Macaca fascicularis: one gene and its partners. The protein of the gene in region 3 interacts with the protein of the main gene of each other region in a biochemical or structural test. Links are inferred from orthologs where the notes say so. Each region holds a gene or a part of one and is shown on either strand. Other genes may lie near its edges.

The links.
Region 1: the proteins of BMPR1A (region 3) and BMP7 form a complex in vitro, tested with the Homo sapiens proteins (2 studies listed by BioGRID). The link is inferred for Macaca fascicularis from reciprocal best matches to the Homo sapiens genes BMPR1A and BMP7.
Region 2: the proteins of BMPR1A (region 3) and BMP4 form a complex in vitro, tested with the Homo sapiens proteins (3 studies listed by BioGRID and IntAct, with this or other methods). The link is inferred for Macaca fascicularis from reciprocal best matches to the Homo sapiens genes BMPR1A and BMP4.

Annotation. Positions count from the first base shown.
Region 1 is NC_088384.1:113,278,525-113,282,181, forward strand, and holds part of BMP7 (bone morphogenetic protein 7), read right to left. Parts: intron 3,510-3,657; coding exon 3,317-3,509; intron 1-3,316. UniProt on the Homo sapiens protein: Growth factor of the TGF-beta superfamily that plays important role in various biological processes, including embryogenesis, hematopoiesis, neurogenesis and skeletal morphogenesis.
Region 2 is NC_088381.1:121,789,990-121,792,427, reverse strand, and holds the end of BMP4 (bone morphogenetic protein 4), read left to right. Parts: intron 1-683; coding exon 684-1,540; 3' UTR 1,541-1,844; downstream 1,845-2,438.
Region 3 is NC_088383.1:59,723,383-59,727,039, reverse strand, and holds part of BMPR1A (bone morphogenetic protein receptor type-1A), read left to right. Parts: intron 1-3,402; coding exon 3,403-3,595; intron 3,596-3,657. UniProt on the Homo sapiens protein: On ligand binding, forms a receptor complex consisting of two type II and two type I transmembrane serine/threonine kinases.

The DNA of each region.
Region 1 (3,657 bases), on a different chromosome or scaffold from region 3:
CAAGAGGACTCAGTGGAAAGTGACTCCCACAAGGGGAGAGACGCTGAGGCCGACCCAAAGCCAGCTAATCCCCGGCACCCCCGGGGCTTTCCTGGAGCTCAGGCACAACTTGTCAGATGTCCCAGCCCTGCACAGCTGGACGGCTGGCGGCACAGAGACCGAGGCAGCCACACGGCGGGGGCAGCAGGGCAGGGTCTGGGCTCCCCTGGGCTGAGATCTGCAGGAGGCCTTCAGCTGGAAGAAGCCGTGCGGGCCCAGGTTGGGGACACGCAAAGAATAGCCCCATCTCTGAACAGGCGAGCTGGCAGAAGCGTACGGGATTCAAAGAGCATTTTCCAGCTCAGGGCTTTGTTCCCACTGGGAGACTGCAGAATTAGGGGAACTGGCTCAGTGGACATACACAGGAAGGCAGTGCCACAGCCACCACCCAGGGCTCTTATCTTCCCAGGGAGGTCTTGCTCCACTTCCTGCCATGATGACGATGATACTAACGCAGGTGACCATTTATTGAGCACTTCCTGTGTGTGAGACACTGTTGTAAGTATGTCACCCCCTTCCATCCACAGCACAACTCTGGAAGGGAGATCCAGTTATTATCCCCATTTTACAAAGGAAAAAACTGAGGCTGTGAGAGGTGACTCTTTCCCAAGGTCACACGGGCACCTGGTGGCAGGATTTGAATCCATGCTCTCAATAGCTGGGAACTACATAATAGGGGTATCTTGGTTCTAGATTCAAAAACAAAACCACCTGTCCAAAAAAATGAATAAATAATATTTTTTTTAATTTAACCATTTAACGTCTGAAGAATGGAGGCTTTGCTGCAGGAGGCACAGGAAGAACATGTAGAAACCTAAAGAAAGCAGCTCGGTCTTTCCCTCCACTGCTTCTCACCCTGCTCCCTTCCCTGCTCAATGCTCCCACCTGCCATGTCCTCTCCTCTGCTGGAACGTGAGCTTCCAGAGGGCAGGGACTCATGTCTAGTTCGTTCTGGTCGATGCCCTCAGGCATGGCATGCAGCAGGTACCTGTGCTGAGCGGGGACTCAGCCACCCAGCAGCCCAGAAGCCCCCAGGAGCAGGACCCCAGCACCAGAATGGGCATCCCCAGCCCAAGTTGCTTGTTGCCAGCAGCCTGGCAGGGAGGACGCCTGGAACGCCCATCCCTGCTCCAAACACACTGCTCAGGCCTGCTGCCCAACCCTGCAGCCCTCAGGATCCACCCCGTGGATCTCAGGCAAGACAGCAGAGACACCTCAGACCATGATGGGACCAGGTACCCATGAAGCCAGCAGGAAGGACCAAGAGCTGCCAGAGCTGAGTGGAGAATCCAGATAACAGCCTGGACGCAGAGGCTGTGGTTTCACCCTAAGAAAGAAGCTCCCTGGCTGCTGGGAGTAGATGCCGATGTCACCTCCCAGGAGAGCTGCTCAGCAGTGTCTACCAAAGCCACCCACGTGTGGGCTCTCTGACCCCACAATTCTACCTCTAGAACTTTATCGGACTGATAGACATGAACAGGTGTGTCAGCGAGGGTACCTGCCCTGCGGCACCATCCATCATAGAACAGAGGGGCCAGCGTGCACACATGAAAGACAGCACACCCCACGCTGTGGAACAGTGAGGTGACTCAGAGGACGAGGGCACCCTGCGTGACCCACTGGAAAGGGCTGCCAAGGTTCATCATCCAACGATGAAAGCCAGGGGCAGGAGTGAATGTACTGTGGGGTGCCACAGGTGAAAACAGCAACACAGATCCCTTCGCTGATTTCAGGAGACTCAAGTAACTGGCAGCAGGAGCTGCCTCAGCAGGAGCTGGGAGCCTTCATTTTCACTGTGGTTCCTTCTCTTTCCTTTTGATTTTATACCATGACCATGTCTTGCTTACTCAAAAACCCTTTTTTTTTTTTTTTTTTTTTTTTTTTTTTTTTTTTTTGAGACAGAGTCTCGCTCTGTTACCCAGGCTGGAGTGCAGTGGCACCATCTCGGCTCACTGCAACCTTCTCCTCCTGGGTTCAAGCAATTCTCCTACCTCAGCCTCCCAAGTAGCTGGGATTACAGGCACGTGCCACTATACCTGGCTAATTTTTATATTTTTAGTAGAGACGGGGTTTCACCATCTCTACTGGGGTTGGCCAGGCTGGTCTTGAACTCCTGACCTCAAATGATCCACCCACCTTGGCCTTCCAAAGTGCTGGGATTACAGGCGTGAGCTACCACACCCAGCCTAAAAACAAATTTTTGAAAGAAATATCGTTCATAAGCGTGGGCTCCAGCTTTGCAAACCTGGGCTCATGTCCTAACGTGGCCACGTTCTCTCTGGGTGGCCTCATTCTTTGGCTTCGGGCCACTTTAGTTCTCCCCGTTTTACAGATGAGCCACCACTTCTGAAGGCTACTGTGAATGTGAAACAAGATATCTCAAGTGCAACACACTGGAAACGCTCAAGACAGTTTTGTTTTCTTGGTACTTAGATGACCATCCCCCCGCCCCCGCCAAATAGCAGTGCTTGGCAAATGTGGCTGTGATGGTTCTTCTGTCCCTGTCTATGGTAACAAGTCCCCTTTCTAGCTGAAGATGCTAGGCCTGCACATCACAAGGAGGTGCCCACAACACCTTTCTTCCATTAATTTCCCTGCCCAGTGTGGACGGTAGACGTCTGACAGCCTGAGGGGTCCAGTAACCCAGCCACTAAGTAATAGGACCTTGGTCATTTCCGCCTCCGGACTGTCTGAATAGAATGCACCTGCTAAATGTCCCAGCCCTTTTTCTTAGCCTCCTTACCTCTCACAAGACCTTTAAATTAATGCATCTCGATAAATTAAAGACTTTCAACACACACGTTTGGTTTCTGAGCTAGTGATTCTTGGAAGCTAAGAGTTCTCTGTTTATTTTTGGTTTGGGCTTTTTTCTTCCCCTAACATTTTATTTTAGATGGCCACCTTAATTGGTTGCCTGACATTGTGCGCTGGGTTTCAGAGTAAGGAATGGGAGAGAGGTAGCCCTTCAAAAATGTTTCTTCCCCTTCCCCTTTTCTTCTATGTCCCTTAGCACCCAGACAGATCCAGACTGCCTATATATACCCATATGGCACCATGCATCCTCGGGCTCCCTGGCCTTCTACTATTCCTGAATTCGTTGTTGGTCATGGTTTTAAGAAAGTGACATACACCATACACCTTCTTTAGAAGGGATAATCTGGTACAGGACCTGGAACGTGGCTGCACCAATCTGTCCCATCCTCTGGCCATCACCCCCTTTTTCCTCTGCCCCCAGAGGAAACTCAGCACCTCTCCCAGATACTCATACAGCACCCACCTGCCCAAGTGCTCCTGGAGCACCTGATAAACGCTGATCCGGAACGTCTCATTGTCGAAGCGTTCCCGGATGTAGTCCTTGTAGATCCGGAATTCGGCTGCTGTGACAGCTTCCCCTTCTGGGATCTTGGAAAGATCAAACCGGAACTCTCGATGGTGGTAGCGTGGGTGGAAGAATTCCTTGTCATGTTCCACTGGAAGAGGAAGAGAACACACACCAACACCGACAGCTTATTAGTGTCTGGGTTTCACTCTCAGGCTCTGAGTTCAAGCATCTTGCCTAAGCTAGATGGAGGCATTCCTGTTGCCAGTGACCCCAGTGACAACTGCTCCTTCTGCACT
Region 2 (2,438 bases), on a different chromosome or scaffold from region 3:
TGCCCGTTTTTTTCAAAGCACCTACTGAATTTAATATTACAGCTGTGTGTTTGTCGGGTTTATTCAATAGGGGCCTTGTAATCCGATCTGAATGTTTCCTAGCGGATGTTTCTTTTCCAAAGTAAATCTGAGTTATTAATCCACCAGCATCATTACTGTGTTGGAATTTATTTTCCCCTCTGTAACATGATCAACAAGGCATGCTCTGTGTTTCCAAGATCGCTGGGGAAATGTTTAGTAACATACTCAATAGTGGAAGAGGGAGAAGGTGGTTGTGTGCATGTTTCCTCCTGCCTGTGCTCTGTTGGCCCCTCTTTTTCTTTACAACCACTTGTAAAGAAAACTGTGGACACAAAACCAAGGGGGGGTTTTAAAAGAGGAGTCTGATGGTGGTGCCCTAGAGGAGTTGGCACATGGAAATTATTAGACATGTCAAGGAGGCTGGGAGGTAGTTTCTGTCTTTGGTGCTTGAGAAATGCTAGCTACATTTTGCTGGTTTGCTAGCTGCCCCACTTATCTGCTCCTTCAAATTAAGGGGTATGCTTATTTCCCCCCAGTAGGTTTTCCCTGCATAAGCAGAATTCACCATTCATCGCCCAACCCTGAGCTCTCTCTTGACTCTTCCATCTTTGAAAAAAGTTCATGTGCTTTTTCTTTTCCCCTTCCTTCCTAACTGTGCCTAGAACATCTGGAGAACATCCCAGGGACCAGTGAAAACTCTGCTTTTCGTTTCCTCTTTAACCTCAGCAGCATCCCAGAGAACGAGGTGATCTCCTCTGCAGAGCTTCGGCTCTTCCGGGAGCAGGTGGACCAGGGCCCTGATTGGGAACGGGGCTTCCACCGTATAAACATTTATGAGGTTATGAAGCCCCCAGCAGAAGTGGTGCCTGGGCACCTCATCACACGACTACTGGACACGAGACTGGTCCACCACAATGTGACACGGTGGGAAACTTTTGATGTGAGCCCTGCGGTCCTTCGCTGGACCCGGGAGAAGCAGCCAAACTATGGGCTGGCCATTGAGGTGACTCACCTCCATCAGACTCGGACCCACCAGGGCCAGCATGTCAGGATTAGCCGATCGTTACCTCAAGGGAGTGGGAATTGGGCCCAGCTCCGGCCCCTCCTGGTCACCTTTGGCCATGATGGCCGGGGCCATGCCTTGACCCGACGCCGGAGGGCCAAGCGTAGTCCTAAGCATCACCCACAGCGGGCCCGGAAGAAGAATAAGAACTGCCGGCGCCACTCGCTCTATGTGGACTTCAGCGATGTGGGCTGGAATGACTGGATTGTGGCCCCACCAGGCTACCAGGCCTTCTACTGCCATGGGGACTGCCCCTTTCCACTGGCTGACCACCTCAACTCAACCAACCATGCCATTGTGCAGACCCTGGTCAATTCTGTCAATTCCAGTATCCCCAAAGCCTGTTGTGTGCCCACTGAACTGAGTGCCATCTCCATGCTGTACCTGGATGAGTATGATAAAGTGGTACTGAAAAATTATCAGGAGATGGTAGTAGAGGGATGTGGGTGCCGCTGAGATCAGGCAGTCCTTGAGGATAGACAGACAGACAGATATACACAACACACACACACACCACACACATACACACACACATTCTCATCCACTCACCCACACACTACACAGACTGCTTCCTTATAGCTGGACTTTTATTTTAAAAAAAAAAAAAAAAAAAGGAAGAAAACCCTAAACATTCACCTTGACCTTATTTATGACTTTACGTGCAAATGTTTTGACCATATTGATCATATATTTTGACAAAATATATTTATAACTACATATTAAAAGAAAAAATAAAATGAGTCATTATTTTAAAGGTAAATCATGGCTTTTTTTCTCTTTAATCCTCTCTCTTTTCCTTTGGGCTCATCTCTTTTGAATGAGGCTTTTTTCTGTTGAGGTGAGTTGGAGGCTGGATGGAAGTCAAAAGGTGGTACCTGGAGGTGGTTAAGTTGTAGGGACAGGAAGTAAACTGTTCACAGAGAGAGATGGTAATTGCCAGCATGAATTGTTTTCCATTTCTATTTAATGTTAACAAGGACACAGTATCCTCTCCCATCTGGATGACACATGCCTTGGAGAAATACTGGGATGAAAGGAGTGTAGGTCAGATTAAAGACTTCATTTTGGGCCCCTTGTACATCTTCTGTTTCACTCACCTGTTGAGGCGTATCACAGCTGAGTGTGATGAGGTCTTAACTCTAGAAAAATGATTACCCACCTCTGCTTTTATGATACCTCAGAGTATCTCCAGTTATTACAGGCACCAATGTGATATTTCCAAATCAGAACTAATTTGCACACTCACATCATAATGTGTGTGTGAAGGCATGTTTAAAAAAATTTTTTTTCTCTCCAGGGAGGACTCTTTTGTTTTTGTCTTTTTTTTGTGGGGGGGGGGAACAGGTTCTCTCTC
Region 3 (3,657 bases):
AATTTGGTACTGGTGTAAGGATAGATGTATCGATGAATGGAACAGATTATGGAGTTTAGAAAGGAACATGCACTTAATATGGTTAATTGATTTAAAAAAAAAAAAAGGTGCCCAAGTAATTCAGTTGGAAAAAGGCAATCCATTTAACAGATGGTGCAGGAAAAATCGGGAATCCATTTACCAAAAAGTTAATCTCAGCCCTTACCTCCTCACTCTGTATACAAAATTAACTTGAAATGTAGCATAGTCCTAAATGTAAAAGTTGAAGTATAAAACCTCTAAAAGAAAATGTCCAAAGGAATTATTGTGACCTTGGGCAGACTTCTCAGTACATAAAAAGCACAAATCATTTTTTTTAATGATAAATCAGGCTTTATCAAAATTTAAACCTTCTGCTATTTAGAAGACAATGTTAAGAAAATGAGAAGACAAGTCACAGATTGGCAAAACAGGTCTGATACAGGGTGTTTGTGCAAAATATATAAGAACTTTTGCAACTCAATAAGACAACCTAATTTTTTTTAAAAATGGCCAGAAGATTTGAACAGACACTTCCCCAAAGAAGATAAAAGAATGGCACACAAGCACATGAAAAGATGTCAGCATCAACAGGGATATACAAATTAAACGCAGTAAGATACTACTACACATCCACTAGTATAGCTAAGACTGACAATATTAAGTGGTGACAAAGATGTAGATCAACTAGAAATCTCATACATTGCTGATTGGAATGCAAAATGGTATAGCTATTTTGAAAAACAGTTTGACAATTGTCTGGAAAGTTAAGGGTATACTTTCTGTACAATGAAGCAATCCTTCTGCTAATTATTTACCCAAGAGGTATGAAAATTTGTCCACACCAGAGGCCTGAATGTGAATGTTGATAGCAGTTTTATTTATAATAGACATAAACTGGAAACAACCCCAAAGCTCATTAATTGGTAAATGAATAAACAAATGGTGGTACATTCATACAGTGGAATACTACTCATCAGTAAAAAGGAACAACTTCTAACACCTGTAGCAGTAACAGTGGGTGAATTTCAGAAGTATTTTATGCTACATGAAGGAAGTCAGACACAAAAGGCTACACTCCTGCCTCAGCCTCCCAAGTAGTTGGGATTAAGGCATGCGCCACCACACCCAGCTAATTTTTGTATTTTTTTTTTAGTAGAGGCGGGGTTTCACCATGTTGGCCAGGCTGGTCTTGAACTCCTGACTTCAGGTGATCCCCCCGCCTCGGCCTCCCAAAGTGCTGGGATTACAGGCATGAGCCACCACGCCCAGCCAAAAAGTGAAAATTTTTTTACGTGATTAAAATGTTCTGAATTTTTTTTTTTTTTTTTTTTTTGAGACGGAGTCTCGCTTTCTAACCCAGGCTGGAGTGCAGTGGCCGGATCTCAGCTCACTGCAAGCTTCGCCTCCCGGGTTCACGCCATTCTCCTGCCTCAGCCTCCCGAGTAGCTGGGACTACAGGCACCCGCCACCTCGCCCGGCTAGTTTTTTTGTATTTTTTAGTAGAAACGGGGTTTCACCGTGTTAGCCAGGATGGTCTCGATCTCCTGACCTCGTGATCCGCCCGTCTCGGCTTCCCAAAGTGCTGGGATTACAGGCTTGAGCCACCGCGCCCGGCCAAACGTTCTGTATTTTAATTGTGGTATTGGTGATTACATGATATAGATTTGTCAAAGGCTTGTTGTACTTTTCTCAAAAAGGGTACATTTTATGTAAATTATAAAATCTTGACTTAAAAACTTACAGGCTGAGGCAGGCAGATCACTTGAGGTCAGGAGTTCGAAACCAGTCTGGCTAACATGTTGAAACCCCATCTCTACTAAAAATACAAAAATTAGCTGGACGTGGTGGCAGATGCCTGTAATCCCAGCTACTCGGGAGGCTGAGGCAGGAAATCGCTTGAACTGGGGAGGCAGAGGTTGCAGTGAGCTGAGATTGGCTGCTGCACTCCAGCCTGGGCAACAGAGTGAGACTCTGTCTCAAAAAAAACAACAAAATTTACAAAAGGATTCTGTAATAAATGATACATAAAGTCACTTTAACTTTGCACTAAATCTAGTTCATTTTAGAAGCATTTCCAACTTGGAACACAATGTTCTTTTTAATGTAGAATGATCACTAACGCTTCTGAAAATGAAAGATAACAATCCATATACATCTTTTATTTAACAAATATGAAAGTTCTTCTGATATTGTCCCAAATAGATACCTGTATTCTGTGAGCAGGGGATGGATTTCAAGCAAATATATACGTAAATAAGAATAAAGTTATGATTGTGTGAAGTGCAGCAACTGAGAGGTTTTGTGTGCTATGAAGGTGTTTAAGTGAGAAAATAGCACTCTAAGTAAAGGGAACTGGACATTCAAAAAGACCCAGAGACAGGAATAAGCTTGAGTGAATTCTAAAAGTTGACATAAATCAAACAGGAGGTTTGTGGCTGGGTGGTCACAGCGAATAATGGGGTCAAGCCAGATCTTGCAGGGTCTTATAGATGGGATTTTTAAGATCTTTAACTGTCATTTGGACTTTGCTGCATAATAAACCATCCCAAAAACTTAGTGCCGTGAAGCACAAAGATTATTTCTCATTCTGTGAGTCTGCGGGGCAGTTCATTTGTTGGACTTGCTCAGCTAGAGCTAGGTAGTATAGTTCACACGCATGGCCAACCGTTCATGCTGCCATTATTTGTTGTTCACAGGGTTACCAAAGCAGCAGGAAAGGGCAAGCCCCAGTCCACAAACATTTGTCAGGTCTTTGCTTGCATCACGTTCGCTGTTGTTCTTTTATCCAAAGCAGGTCATATGGCCTAAGCCCTGAGTCTGCGGGCCAGGAGTACCCATGGCTGTGTGCACTGGGAGGGGAATTATTATGACCATTTTTGCCATTAGCCACACTGAATAATCTGTTTATAATTTCAGAATACATTGTAAATTGTTTCATACTTTAAAGTACATTATGGCTGAGCATGGTGGCTCACACCTGTAATCCCAGCATTTTGGGAGGCCAAGGTGGGCGGATCACCTGAGGTCAGGAGTTCAAGACCAGCCTGGTTAACATGGCTAAACCCCATCTTTACTAAAAATACAAAAAAATTAGCTGGATGTGGTGGTGGGTGCCTGTCATTCCAGCTACTTGGGAGGCTGAGGCAGGAGAATCACTTGAAACTAGAAGGTGAAGGTTGCAGTGAGCCGAGATCAGGCCACTGCACTCCAGCCTGGGTGATAGAGCGAGATTCCATCCAAAAAAAAAAAAAAGTACATTATAAGTTTTTAACTCGAACTGGTTGGGTATACCATGCTTTTTGATGAGATGGACTATCCCTTTGCCAGTCTTAATGGGTTTCTTTCATCAAGAGCTCAAACCTTTTACTTTTTTCTATAAAGGTTCAGCGAACTATTGCCAAACAGATTCAGATGGTCCGGCAAGTTGGTAAAGGCCGATATGGAGAAGTATGGATGGGTAAATGGCGTGGCGAAAAAGTGGCGGTGAAAGTATTCTTTACCACTGAAGAAGCCAGCTGGTTTCGAGAAACAGAAATCTACCAAACTGTGCTAATGCGCCATGAAAACATACTTGGTGGGTACACACTGATTCAGTCAATTTCATGTTTGACAAGGCTAGTGGGGGGTGCAGGTGGA